3 linked regions of the Oryctolagus cuniculus genome follow. The protein of the gene in region 1 purifies or fractionates together with the protein of each later gene. This does not show direct contact. Links are inferred from orthologs where the notes say so. Each region holds a gene or a part of one and is shown on either strand. Other genes may lie near its edges.

The links.
Region 2: the proteins of PLK1 (region 1) and E3 SUMO-protein ligase RanBP2 purify together in Homo sapiens (affinity purification with mass spectrometry; 3 studies listed by BioGRID and IntAct, with this or other methods). This does not show direct contact. The link is inferred for Oryctolagus cuniculus from reciprocal best matches to the Homo sapiens genes PLK1 and RANBP2.
Region 3: the proteins of PLK1 (region 1) and ERCC6L purify together in Homo sapiens (affinity purification with mass spectrometry; 9 studies listed by BioGRID and IntAct, counting the BioPlex papers as one, with this or other methods). This does not show direct contact. The link is inferred for Oryctolagus cuniculus from reciprocal best matches to the Homo sapiens genes PLK1 and ERCC6L.

What each region holds. Positions count from the first base shown.
Region 1 is NC_091450.1:15,668,632-15,672,278, forward strand, and holds part of PLK1 (serine/threonine-protein kinase PLK1), read right to left. Parts: intron 3,261-3,647; coding exon 3,041-3,260; intron 1-3,040. UniProt on the Homo sapiens protein: Serine/threonine-protein kinase that performs several important functions throughout M phase of the cell cycle, including the regulation of centrosome maturation and spindle assembly, the removal of cohesins from chromosome arms, the inactivation of anaphase-promoting complex/cyclosome (APC/C) inhibitors, and the regulation of mitotic exit and cytokinesis.
Region 2 is NC_091433.1:100,113,206-100,116,952, forward strand, and holds the start of E3 SUMO-protein ligase RanBP2, read right to left. Parts: upstream 2,497-3,747; 5' UTR 2,359-2,496; coding exon 2,287-2,358; intron 1,695-2,286; exon of another isoform or gene 1,584-1,694; intron 1-1,583. UniProt on the Homo sapiens protein: E3 SUMO-protein ligase which facilitates SUMO1 and SUMO2 conjugation by UBE2I. Involved in transport factor (Ran-GTP, karyopherin)-mediated protein import via the F-G repeat-containing domain which acts as a docking site for substrates.
Region 3 is NC_091453.1:52,294,895-52,298,641, forward strand, and holds the start of ERCC6L (DNA excision repair protein ERCC-6-like), read right to left. Parts: upstream 2,591-3,747; 5' UTR 2,574-2,590; coding exon 2,431-2,573; intron 1-2,430. UniProt on the Homo sapiens protein: DNA helicase that acts as a tension sensor that associates with catenated DNA which is stretched under tension until it is resolved during anaphase. Functions as ATP-dependent DNA translocase. Can promote Holliday junction branch migration (in vitro).

The sequences.
Region 1 (3,647 bases):
TTAAAAACTAGGAAAAAAGGGGAGGAGGAGGAAGGTATGGAACAGATCAAAATCTAGTAGCTGTGCTGGTAACTACTGACAACGGATGACGAACACGTGGGGAGTCACGGCACACTTCTCTCTGCCTTTGGGTAAAGTTGAAAACATCCATGAAGTTTTTTGTTTTTAAAAAAAGCTGTAAGTTCAAAATTAAACTGAAAAGTAATCCTTAAAAAACCCCAGTATTATATTAATATAGCCCAAAGAACAAAATAAACAATCCTTGAGTTCATTACTGACATAAATAAGCAAACAAGGAGAGGGCCAGCTCTTCCTTAGAGGGCCAACTAGTGAAACGCAGGAGCAGGGAAAAGAAAGAGCACGAGAACACAGTGAGCACTGCTGCAGGCAGGCCCCGCCGTGGGCGCTAAACTCGGCACGGGACACTGAGCCTAGCAGTCATACATCGGTTAGGACACCTGCGTGTCACCTGACTCACCACTTCCTGCTAATGCAGACCCTCCGAGGCACTGGCAATGGCTCAAGTAACTGGGTCCCTGCCACTGACATGGGAGGCCTGGACCGAGCTCCTGGCTCCAGCCTTAGCTCAGACCCAGCTGTTGCAGGCATTTGGGCAACAAACCAGTGGATGAGAGCTTTCTCTCTCTCAGATAAAAATAAGAGAAACCCATCAGATGCCACGGTAACCAAGTGATCACAGTTAATAAACACCACCACTAACAAGAGAAAAAAAAAATCAATGTGTACCCCTGATAGACTACATGGAGCCGGCGCCGCGGCTCACTAGGCTAATCCTCCACCTGTGGTGCTGGCACCCCAGGTTCTAGTCCCGGCTGGGGTGCTGGATTCTGTCCTGGTTGCTCCTCTTCCTGTCCAGCTCTCTGCTGTGGCCCGGGAGTACAGTGGAGGATGGCCCAGGTCCTTGGGCCCTGCACCCGCATGGGAGACCAGGAGGAAGCACCTGGCTCCTGGCTTTGGATCGGTGCAGCGCACCGGCCGTAGTGGCCATTTGGGGGGTGAACCAATGGAAGGAAGACCTTTCTCTCTAACTCTGCCTGTCCAAAAAAAAAAAAAAAAACCCACGAAACAAACCAGAGTCCACGGAGAAGGGCGCATCACTTCTGCTGCACTCCCCCAAAGTCTAGAACCTCAGTGTGAGCGCGAGGAACTCCAAATCCACAGAAAGAGCGGAAGTGGAAAACCTGACGAGGGCCCAAGACAGCCTGGAGTGTGAAACTACCGGGGCCGACGCTGAGGGGGAGCAGTGAAGCTGCCGCCTGCTCCACCTCCTATCCAGCTCTCTGCTATAGCCTGGGAAGGTGGTGGAAGATGGCCTGAGCCCTTGGGCCCCTGCACCCGCGTGGGAGACCCGGGAAGCGGGGAGCTCCTGGCTTTGCATCGGTACAGCTCCGGCCATTGTGGCCAACTGGAGAGTGAAGCAGCAGATGGAAGACCTCTCTCTCTCTCTCTCTCTCTCTGCCTCTCCTTCTCTCTCTCTGCATAACTCTAACTTTCAAGTAAAACAAATAAATCTTAAAAAAAAATTTACAAAGTGAAAAGTAGAATTCAAAAAAGAAAAAGAAAAGATACTGCCCTGTGTTTTAGTCCTTCTCTGTGGTTACACAACACGCTGATGCGCGGGAAGCCAAGGGAAGGGTATATGGGAACTCTCTCTGCAATTGCTATTATCTTTTAGAATTTCTGTATAAGCCTAAAGTTATTCTACAATAAAATTCTAGAAAGTAATCCCTAAATATTGAAAACTAACAAACAAATGAACTTAAGTTGTCTATCAAACTGAGATACACCTAGAGGAAGTATTTCAAGCTACTTTAAAAAAAAAAAACAAAACAACATATCTTTGGAGCCAGCACTGTGGCGTGGCGGGTTAAGCTGCAGCCTGCAGTGCCGACATCCCATATGGGCGCTGGTTCTAGTCCCAGCTGCTCCACTTCCGATCCAGCTCCCTGATATTGCACCTGGGAAAGCAGTGGAAGATGGCCTAAGTCCTCAGGCCCCAGTACCCACATGGGAGACTCAGATGAACCTCCTGGCTCCTGGCTTCGGCCTGGCCCAACCCTGGCCATGGCAGCCATCTGGGGAGTGAACAAGCTGATGGAAGATCTCTCTCTCCTCCTGTAACTCTTTCAAATAAAATAAATAAGTCTATATTTTAAAAAGAAGATTGCTCTAAAACTATATTGTATCCATGTTAAATTTCTTGAGCTTGATAACTGTTATGCACTGTGGTTATATAAAATAATCTTTGTTTTTAGGAAATACACACTGAAGTATTAAGGGTAAGAATGGAATACTTACATACACAACTTACTTTTAAACAATTCTGTGTGCATGCAATGCAAATGAATGATGTCTTCAAAAAGTTAATGGAAAAACCTGTATTATGAAAAACTACAGGTTCAACTTCGCACCAAAATAAACTTCTAATTCCATTTTTTTCCCATTAACTTTTTGAAGTACCCTCATGTGCAGTATACGTGGGAGGTAGAGGAAGAAGATAAAAGTAAATGTAAAAAAAAAATGGCAACTGGTGGATCTAGGGAACAGGGTAGACGGAAGAGGAGCTTCCTGTTTGTTCTTCCACCTTTTTTTAACCTTGAAATAATAGCAAAATAAAATGCTACGAAAAAGGGAATCGCAAACATTATCATACACCCAGATGTCCCCCTTTAAAGTAAGTATTTCCTGACTCTGTCCTATAGAAGAGACCCAGAGGAAATGACAACCTAGGTAATGGCACGTGACGTTAGATTTTCCTAAGAAAATCGAAGCCGCATACTGAAGTTATGGGTACAATGGCAAGATGTCTGAGGTTAACTTTAAGAATATATCAGAGAAACAGGGAAGGCTCCGCAGGGCAGGTGTGACTGCTCAGATGGTGGGGACCTGGAGGCTCCCACAGCCTGCTCAGGGTGTGTATTTGAAACTGTTCCTGTCTCCTTCAATGAAGCATGAAGAAGTGATATTAGGGGCCTCGGTTCTCTCTGGGGTTCTGTGTCTGACCCTCCCCTTGCTTTACCTTTATTAAGGACGGTGAGAGGCTTCCGGCTGCTGGGGTCCAGGCTGCTGGGAGCGATTGAGAACCTGGGTGGAATGGTGAGGCAAGTGATGGGCAGCCGGGCAGGGATGTAGCCGGAAGTGAAGAACTCGTCACTGAGCAGCTCGTTAATGGTCGGGCGGGCAGAGGGGTCTGTCTGCAGCATCTTCTGGATGAGGGACGCAGCCACAGGGTTGATGTGCTGGAGCAGAGACAGAGAAAGCCCTGAGCCGGGCGTGGCCGTGGACTGGGACAGCAGTGCTGTCATAGCGGGACCACAGCCCACAGGGCAGCTCCGGGTCTCAAGTAAGCCATGGTTCCACAACTAAGAACATCGCCAAGCTCCCCCTTATCGACCTCACGGAGCTGACGAGTGAGAAGGATCACGTTTCTTCCCTCTTGGAACTCCAGATTAAGCTGTTTTCCCCCAGACTTGCCCTTGCACACCTAAAGTTGCTCGTCTCCACTGCAGCGCCTTGAGGACACAGGCTTTGAGGTCTTGCACCTGTTTAAACACCGTTTTGCCCTCATCTCAGCTACGACAAGCAACCTGCGCTTTGTAGGGCCTTTGGGGCCGCATCTGTAAAAG
Region 2 (3,747 bases), on another chromosome or scaffold:
ACTTCATATTTTGCTGAAGTTCTCAGGCATCCACTTTAAGAAAAATACCCAATTAAAACAATATTCTTCAAGTTTGAGAGGTGGCCATAACTAATCCTCTTTATCTGACAGAAATTATATAGTAGAAATACTCTACCTTCTGTCTCAAACCGTGTTTTTTTTGTTTGTTTGTTTTTTGTTTTTTAATTTCTTTGAAAGAGTTACACAGAGAGAAAGAGAAGCAGAGAGAGAGGTCTTCCATCTGCTGGTTCACTTCCCAATTGGCTGCAACTACAGGCGGCAGCTTCTTAACATTTGAGAGCCAAGGTCCCCACTAAGAATCTCATGGAGGGGGGCCAAAGCCGCTGCCTGCAGTGCCGGCATCTCATATGGGCACCGGTTCGAGTCCTGGCTGCTCCACTTCTGATCCAGCTCTCGGCTGTGGCCTGGGTAAGCAATGGAAGATGGCCCAAGTCCTTGGGCCCCTGCACCCACATGGGAGACCCTGAAGAAGCTCCTGGCTTCTGGTTCAGATCGGCACAGCTCCAGCCATTGTGGCCAATTGGTGAGTGAACCAGCGGAGGGAGAACCTCTCTCTGCCTCTCCTTCTGTAACTCTTTCAAATAAATAAATAAATCTTAAAAAAAAAATCTTATGGAGATGCTAAACTTGCTTCAAAAAATAAGAACAAAAAAAAAAGTATACCAGTCTTAGGAGTTACAGAAACCTTCAACAAGGTTCTAACACTATTAACACATTCATACTTAAGACTATGCAGGGGCAGGTCTGTGATACAGCAGGTAAAGCCACTGTCTGCAGTGCCAGCATCCCATATGGGCAGCAGCTGGTATAGTCCCACCTGCTCCACTTCCAATCCAGCTCCCTGCTAATGGGCCTGGGAAAGCAGCGGAGGACGGCCCAAGTGCTTGGGACCCTGAACCCACACAGGAGACCCGGAAGAAGCCCCGGCTGCTGGCTCAGAACAGCCCAGCTCTGCCCCTTACAGCCATTTGGGGAACGAAGCAGCGGATTGAAGCTCTCTCTCTTCGAGTCCCCAGCCCCCACCAACTCTGCCTTTCAAATAAATGAATAAATCTTTAAACAAAAACTATGCCAGCGATTTGAAATGGCATCTGCACGTAGGAACCTATGTGTCTTCTCCAGAGAGACAGACTATAGGCCGTTACACTATTCCTAAAAAAGCCAATCAGACCCACTGCCAACACCCTGCTGAGCCATCCACTTGGCCCTGGACAAGTACCTTCCCCGTCTGCAGGACTCAGTATTTAGTTATTGGAGCATAAAGTAAGATAACTAGGCTACGATACAAGGCACGTTATGTTGCACTGTAATCATGATCAACCACTAATATGAGAACTCAAAGTTCGTGGGAAATGCGTGTTATGGAAAAAACCATACAAAAACTTTACAACTTTTCTGCACCCAACACAGACTTCTCGTTTCCCGCACGTCCATGCAGAAGCAGCCGTCTAGACCTTCACTTCCAACATCAACACCACCAGCGCCAGGAGATGCAGCTGACGCCCATGTAGGGCTGACGGCGTGCCAGGCGTCGTTGGAGGTGTTGGGCACCGACCACGCACCTCATCAAGCCCGCTTTACAGATGGGATACTCAACGCGCTCTCCACCTGCGTCTGCCAGGGCAGGGTCGCAACTACTCAACTGCAGGCAGACCAACGAGCCGGCGCGCGCCCACCGGTGGTAACCTGCCCCACTCCCCGCCGCCGCCTCCAAGTAATCCAGGAGGGAGAAACGTGCTCAGAACTGGCTGTCGGGAAAAAGACTTGCAAACTCTGAGCTCAGAGCACCCCGTCTGTAAAGGGGAAGCGGCCGCAAATAAAACAGCAGCTTGCTCGGCGTGCGGGGCTGAGAGGACTGCGCGTGGTCACCCGCGCTCGGGCCGCAGTCCAGGGCGCCTGCCCGGCCGCGGCAGCGTCACAGCGGGGACAGCCCGCCGCGTTCCAACAGCCGCCCTGCCCAGAGGCGGCCGCAGCGGGACGGCAGAGCCCGCCCGAGGCGCCAGCCGGGGGCCCGGGCAGCGCGGGCCGCACGGAACAGGCCTGACGAGGACGAAGGCCCCCCGCCCCGCCCCAGGAAGCAGGCAACGCCGACGTCCCCCGCGCCCCCACGCCCCTCCCCGAGCGCTCCCGAGCGCCGCGCCGCCCACAGGGCAGGGCGAGCCGCCCCGGACCTCCGCCGCACGCGCCAGGGAGCGGTTGGCGCCGGGAGCCATGGCGCCGGCGCCGCCGCTGGGCCAGGGCCCGGCCTCTCCGGACACGACTCACCTCTCGCGGCGACGGGGCGGAGCCCTGCACCGAAGCGATATACCGCTCCACGTCGGCCTTGCTGCGCCTCATCGCGCCGCCGACCGGACTCCCGGCGAGCGGCCGGCAGGCGTTAGGCCCCGCTGCGGTCGCAGGGTCCAGCAGCGAAGCGCTTGAAAACCCGTGACGCAGCGCAGTCGCCGGCGGAGGGGGCGGGGCGGCGTGCGTGCGTGCTGCGTCATCGCTGTGCGCCACGCCATCGAGTGCGGCGCTCCCGCCTAGAACTGCCGGCCGAGGGCTCTACCCGAGCGGGCGCAGCCGGGGTGGCCGAATCTGAGGCCGATTCTCCTGCTTGCGGCGGAGAGCCCGGTGTTCACCGCCGCGAGATAACGTTTTACCTCGTGGGTTCCTAAGAGCGTTCCGTGTTTGGCCTTAGTTAAAATCACGTGATGTTGTGGAAGGAAAAAGATGTCGGGCCATTTTGGTTGAGCCTGTAAATTGGCGCAATCCTGGAGGTGATTGGCTAAAGTACATCGTGTGGGACACATGTGAATACGAAGCACTTATTTTAAAACGTATGCGTTTAAAAAGATAGGCCACAAATACTATTTTTTGGCGGATTGCAACTTACATTTCAGTGGCCGAAGGACAGGACACATCGAATTCTTGATAGTACTAATCCTTTTTTCTTTCTTTCCTTTTTTTTTTTTTTTTTTTTTTTTTTTTGACAGGCAGAGTGGACAGTGAGAGAGACAGAGAGAAAGGTCTTCTTTTGCCGTTGGTTCACCCTCCAATGGCCGCCGTGGCCGGCGCACAGCACTGATCCGAAGCCAGGAGCCAGGTGCTTCTCCTGGTCTCCCATGGGGTGCAGGGCCCAAGGACTTGGGCCATCTTCCACTGCTCTCCCAGGCCACAGCAGAGAGCTGGATCGGAAGTGGAGCTGCCAGAACATGAACCAGTGTCCATATGGGATGCCGGCACTGCAGGCAGCGGCTTTACCGGCTACTCCACAGCACCGACCCTGAGTAATCTTTATCCGTTTTGGATTTTCCGTGTTTTCTATATTGAACAAGCATTACCTTTATGAAGAAGAAGGAAAAACAGATCTTTTTCTTTATTTCAATCTTTGTGGTAAGAAAAGATGATTCTTGGGTTACCAGTGTGACTGCTGTACTTTAACAAATAATATGTAAAGAGCATCTAGCTTGGGATGGAATATCCTATTTTAGGTAGCTGGTTTCTTTCCCTTGAGGTGAAATACATAGAGATGGAGTTGGCCTCGTATGTAGATGAAAGGATAAGACAAAGATCTGTGACAGACTTGGAAGTCAGAACCCTCAGGAAATAAGTGGAACTACAAGTTAGCCTTGGGAAGTATGTTGGTAAAAATAGCCGTAACTAACAAGTAAACACTTGCTGCTGCAGGCTCTTTTCATAGCACTTCACATGCATTAACTCTTTTAATTTTCCCAATGACTTTCC
Region 3 (3,747 bases), on another chromosome or scaffold:
TAGCGGTGCCGGCACACCGGGTTCTAGTCCAGGTCGGGGCGCCGGATTCTGTCCCGGTTGCCCCTCTTCCAGGCCAGCCCTCTGCTGTGGCCAGGGAGTGCAGTGGAGGATGGCCCAGGTGCTTGGGACCTGCACCCCATGGGAGACCAGGAAAAGCACCTGGCTCCTGGTTCCTGCCATCGGATCAGCGCGGTGCACCGGCCGCAGCGCGCCGGCCGCGGCGGCCATTGGAGGGTGAACCAACGGCAAAAGGAAGACCTTTCTCTCTGTCTCTCTCTCTCACTGTCCACTCTGCCTGTCAAAAAAAATAAAATAAAATAAAATAAAAAAATAAAAATGTAAAAGAGAATTACTATATGTTCCAAGAATTCCACTTCTCCATATACATCCAAAAAAACTGAAAGCACAATCTCAAAAAAATTATTCACAAGGGCAATTCAAACAGTTTGTGGAAAAACTGAATTAAAAGATAAGCTCATTTTAGTGCAAAAAAATTTTGAAATCATATAAAGGTGATCTTCAGTTGGAGTTTGTGAACTCAAGAGGCTTCCATAGCCTTGGCAGCTCATGACAAGAGCCTCAGGTGATTACTGACATCATAAATAAGAGTGTCAATTGTTAAATCAACAACAGAAGTCACTGTGCACTTACTCCCCATGTGGGATCTCTGTCCTTAATGTGTTGTACTATGCGAATTAACAGTATAACTAGTACTCCAACAGTACTTTATACTTTGTGTGTCTGTGTGGGTGCAGTCTGTTGAAATCTTTACTTAGTATATACTAAGTTGATCTTCTGTATATAAAGATAATTAAAAATGAATCTTAATGAAGAATGGGATGGGAGAGGGAGTAGGAGATGGGATGGTTTGTGGGTGGGAGGGTGGTTATGGGGGGAAAAACTGCTATAATACAAAAGTTGTACTTTAGAAATTTATATTTATTAAATAAAAGTTTTCTAAAAAATAATATCAACGTATCCTAATGACTGAAAAAAGGTGATATTCAAAAAGTTCATAAAGCATGTTTATTATGAAATAACTATGTGTGGATTTCAAAAACTTCTGCAGCAAAATAAACTCATCTTTTGGTTCTATTTTCTGTGAACTTTTTGGAGTTTCCTCATACGTGCCCATGTTCATAGCAGCAGTATTCACAACTGCCAAGAGATAGAGGCAACCCAAGTAAGCTTAACAGACACACAAACAAAGTGTGGTATATACTCATTTTTTTTTTTTTGACAGGCAGAGTGGACAGTGAGAGAGAGAGAGACACAGAGAGAAAGGTCTTCCTTTTGCCGTTGGTTCACCCTCCAATGGCCGCACACCGTGCTGATCCGAAGCCAGGAGCCAGGTGCTTTTCCTGGTCTCCCATGGGGTGCAGGGCCCAAGCACCTGGGCCATCCTCCACTGCACTCCCTGGCCACAGCAGAGGGCTGGCCTGGAAGAGGGGCAACCGGGACAGAATCCGGCGCCCGGACCGGGACTAGAACCTGGTGTGCCGGCGCCGCAAGGCGGAGGATTAGCCTAGTGAGCCGCGGCGCCAGCCTATACTCAGTCTTAAAAGTGAAATCCTGTTACATGATACAAGAACTCTATGCTAAGTGAAATAAGCCAAGCACAGAGACAAATCCTGCAATGGTTCCATTTATATAATGAATATAAAATGGTCAAATGCATACAAACAGAAGAATGGTGGTTGTCAAGGGCTGGGGAAGGAGGAAGTAGAGTTATTTAATGGGTACAGTTGCTCTTTTGCAAAATTAAAGTTCTGGAGATGGGTGGTGGCAATGATTGTACAATAATGTAAATGTAACACCAATGGTGTTAAATGTAATACCAATGAAATCGTGAAGATGGTAAAGTTTATGTGTAGTTTAGCACAATTTTAAAAACTCTTAAATGCTCATCCCCACATCACGATGCTCCTCCCCTTAGCCATCTTGTGAATACTTAATCATTTTTCAACATACCGCTCAAATATTTCCTCCTCTAACCCTTGTAGTCGGTAACCTCTTTTATTACAACACTGTGCTCCGCACTTCACACGTCTTACAGCACTTACTGAACATTATAGCAATTATTGATTTGCCGCTCAGTTTCCACTACAAGATTATAAGCAATCTGGGGGCAAGGCCGGTGTTTTCCTAGGCCTGGGGCTTGGTAGTCTGGAAAGATTCTAGCTCTGAAAGGGCTCGGACTGGAGGATTAGTTGACCAGAAGAGGGGGCCCTGAGGGTTCCCCAAGCTTTAGAAGTCTGACCCATATCCAGAGCTGATTCTCAGGCCCGCACTAATCACAAGGCTCTGCCTTAGCAGTTTGGGCCCCCAAGAGGGTCCAAGAGCCACTCCGCTCACCCCCCACCCCCACCCCGCCACCGGCACTCCGAGACAGGGCCTGCGAGCTAGATCCGCCTGGCAGTCCAAACATACCTCAAGTAACGAGCAGCCTGCTCCGGGCTCAAGGCTTCGGCTTCCGCAAATCCACGGGACGGCTCCATGACCGGGTTGTTCAACGTATCTCGGCGGGAGCTTGAATTTCGCTCGCTCCCGCCCCGCGCATGCGCTGTGCGCATACCAATGAGGCACGGCCAACTGTCGGTCTTGCGGCCAGCCAGTCCGCGGCCCCGCGTTCCAGCCCCACGGCCTGAGTCCCGCCCACAAAGGTCTTGCGCCTGCGCCTACGCTCGCTGGAGGCTGCGTTTGCGGCGCGGGTTAGATTACGTCATCCTGTCGCCTTTCCAACTCCGTTCAAGTTGTGCTTCAGTGAATTCGTGTGTAATATCCTTATGAGTAGAGAGACTGCCTGATACGCTGTCAGTGTAGTGGCCCCTGGAGACCTCCACCTCCTGCGCACCCCAAACCTGCATCTCCAGATACCCTCCTTTTCCTGCTCGCCGATGCCTGACACAGAGTCTGCTTTGAATTAAACACCCTGGGAGGCGTAGTTCCCATGACTTAAACTCACATCGAAAAAGCATCTTAGAACTAAGCTGTGGCGTAGCGGGTGGGGCCGCCGCCTGCAACGCCGGCATCCGATATGGGCGTCGCTTCAAGTCCCGGCTGCTCCACTTCTGATTCAGTTCTCTGCTGTGGCCTGAGAAAGCAGAAGATGGCCCAAGTCCTTGGGCCCTTGCACCCGTGTGGGAGACCCAGAAGAATCTCCTGGCTTCGGATAGGCACAGCTCCAGCCATTTTGGCCTCTCCCCTCTGTATGTAACTCTGACTTTCAAATAAATAAATCTTTTTTAAAAAATTTAAAAACTAAGCCAAAGCTTTCATTTAAGAAGTAAGTAGGGGTGGACATTTGTAGTAGTGGTTAAGACCCTAATTGGGAGGCAGGTGCTGTGATGTAGCTGGTAAAGCTGCTGTCTGCTGCAGTGCATCCTATATGGGCAGTGGTTGGAGTCCTCACTACTCCACTTTTTTTTTTTTTTTTTGGACAGGCAGAGTGCACAGTGAGAGAGGCAGAGATAAAGGTCTTCCTTTTTTTGCCGTTGGTTCACCCTCCAATGGCCGCCGCAGCCGGCGCGCTGTGGCCGGCGCACCGCGCTGATCCGAAGCCAGGAGCCAGGTGCTTCTCCTGGTCTCCCATGGGGTGCAGGGCCCAAGCACTTGGGCCATCCTCCACTGCACTCCCGGGCCATAGCAGAGAGCTGGCCTGGAAGAGGGGCAACCGGGACAGAATCCGGCACCCGGACCGGGACTAGAACCTGGTGTGCTGGCGCCGCTAGGTGGAGGATTAGCCTA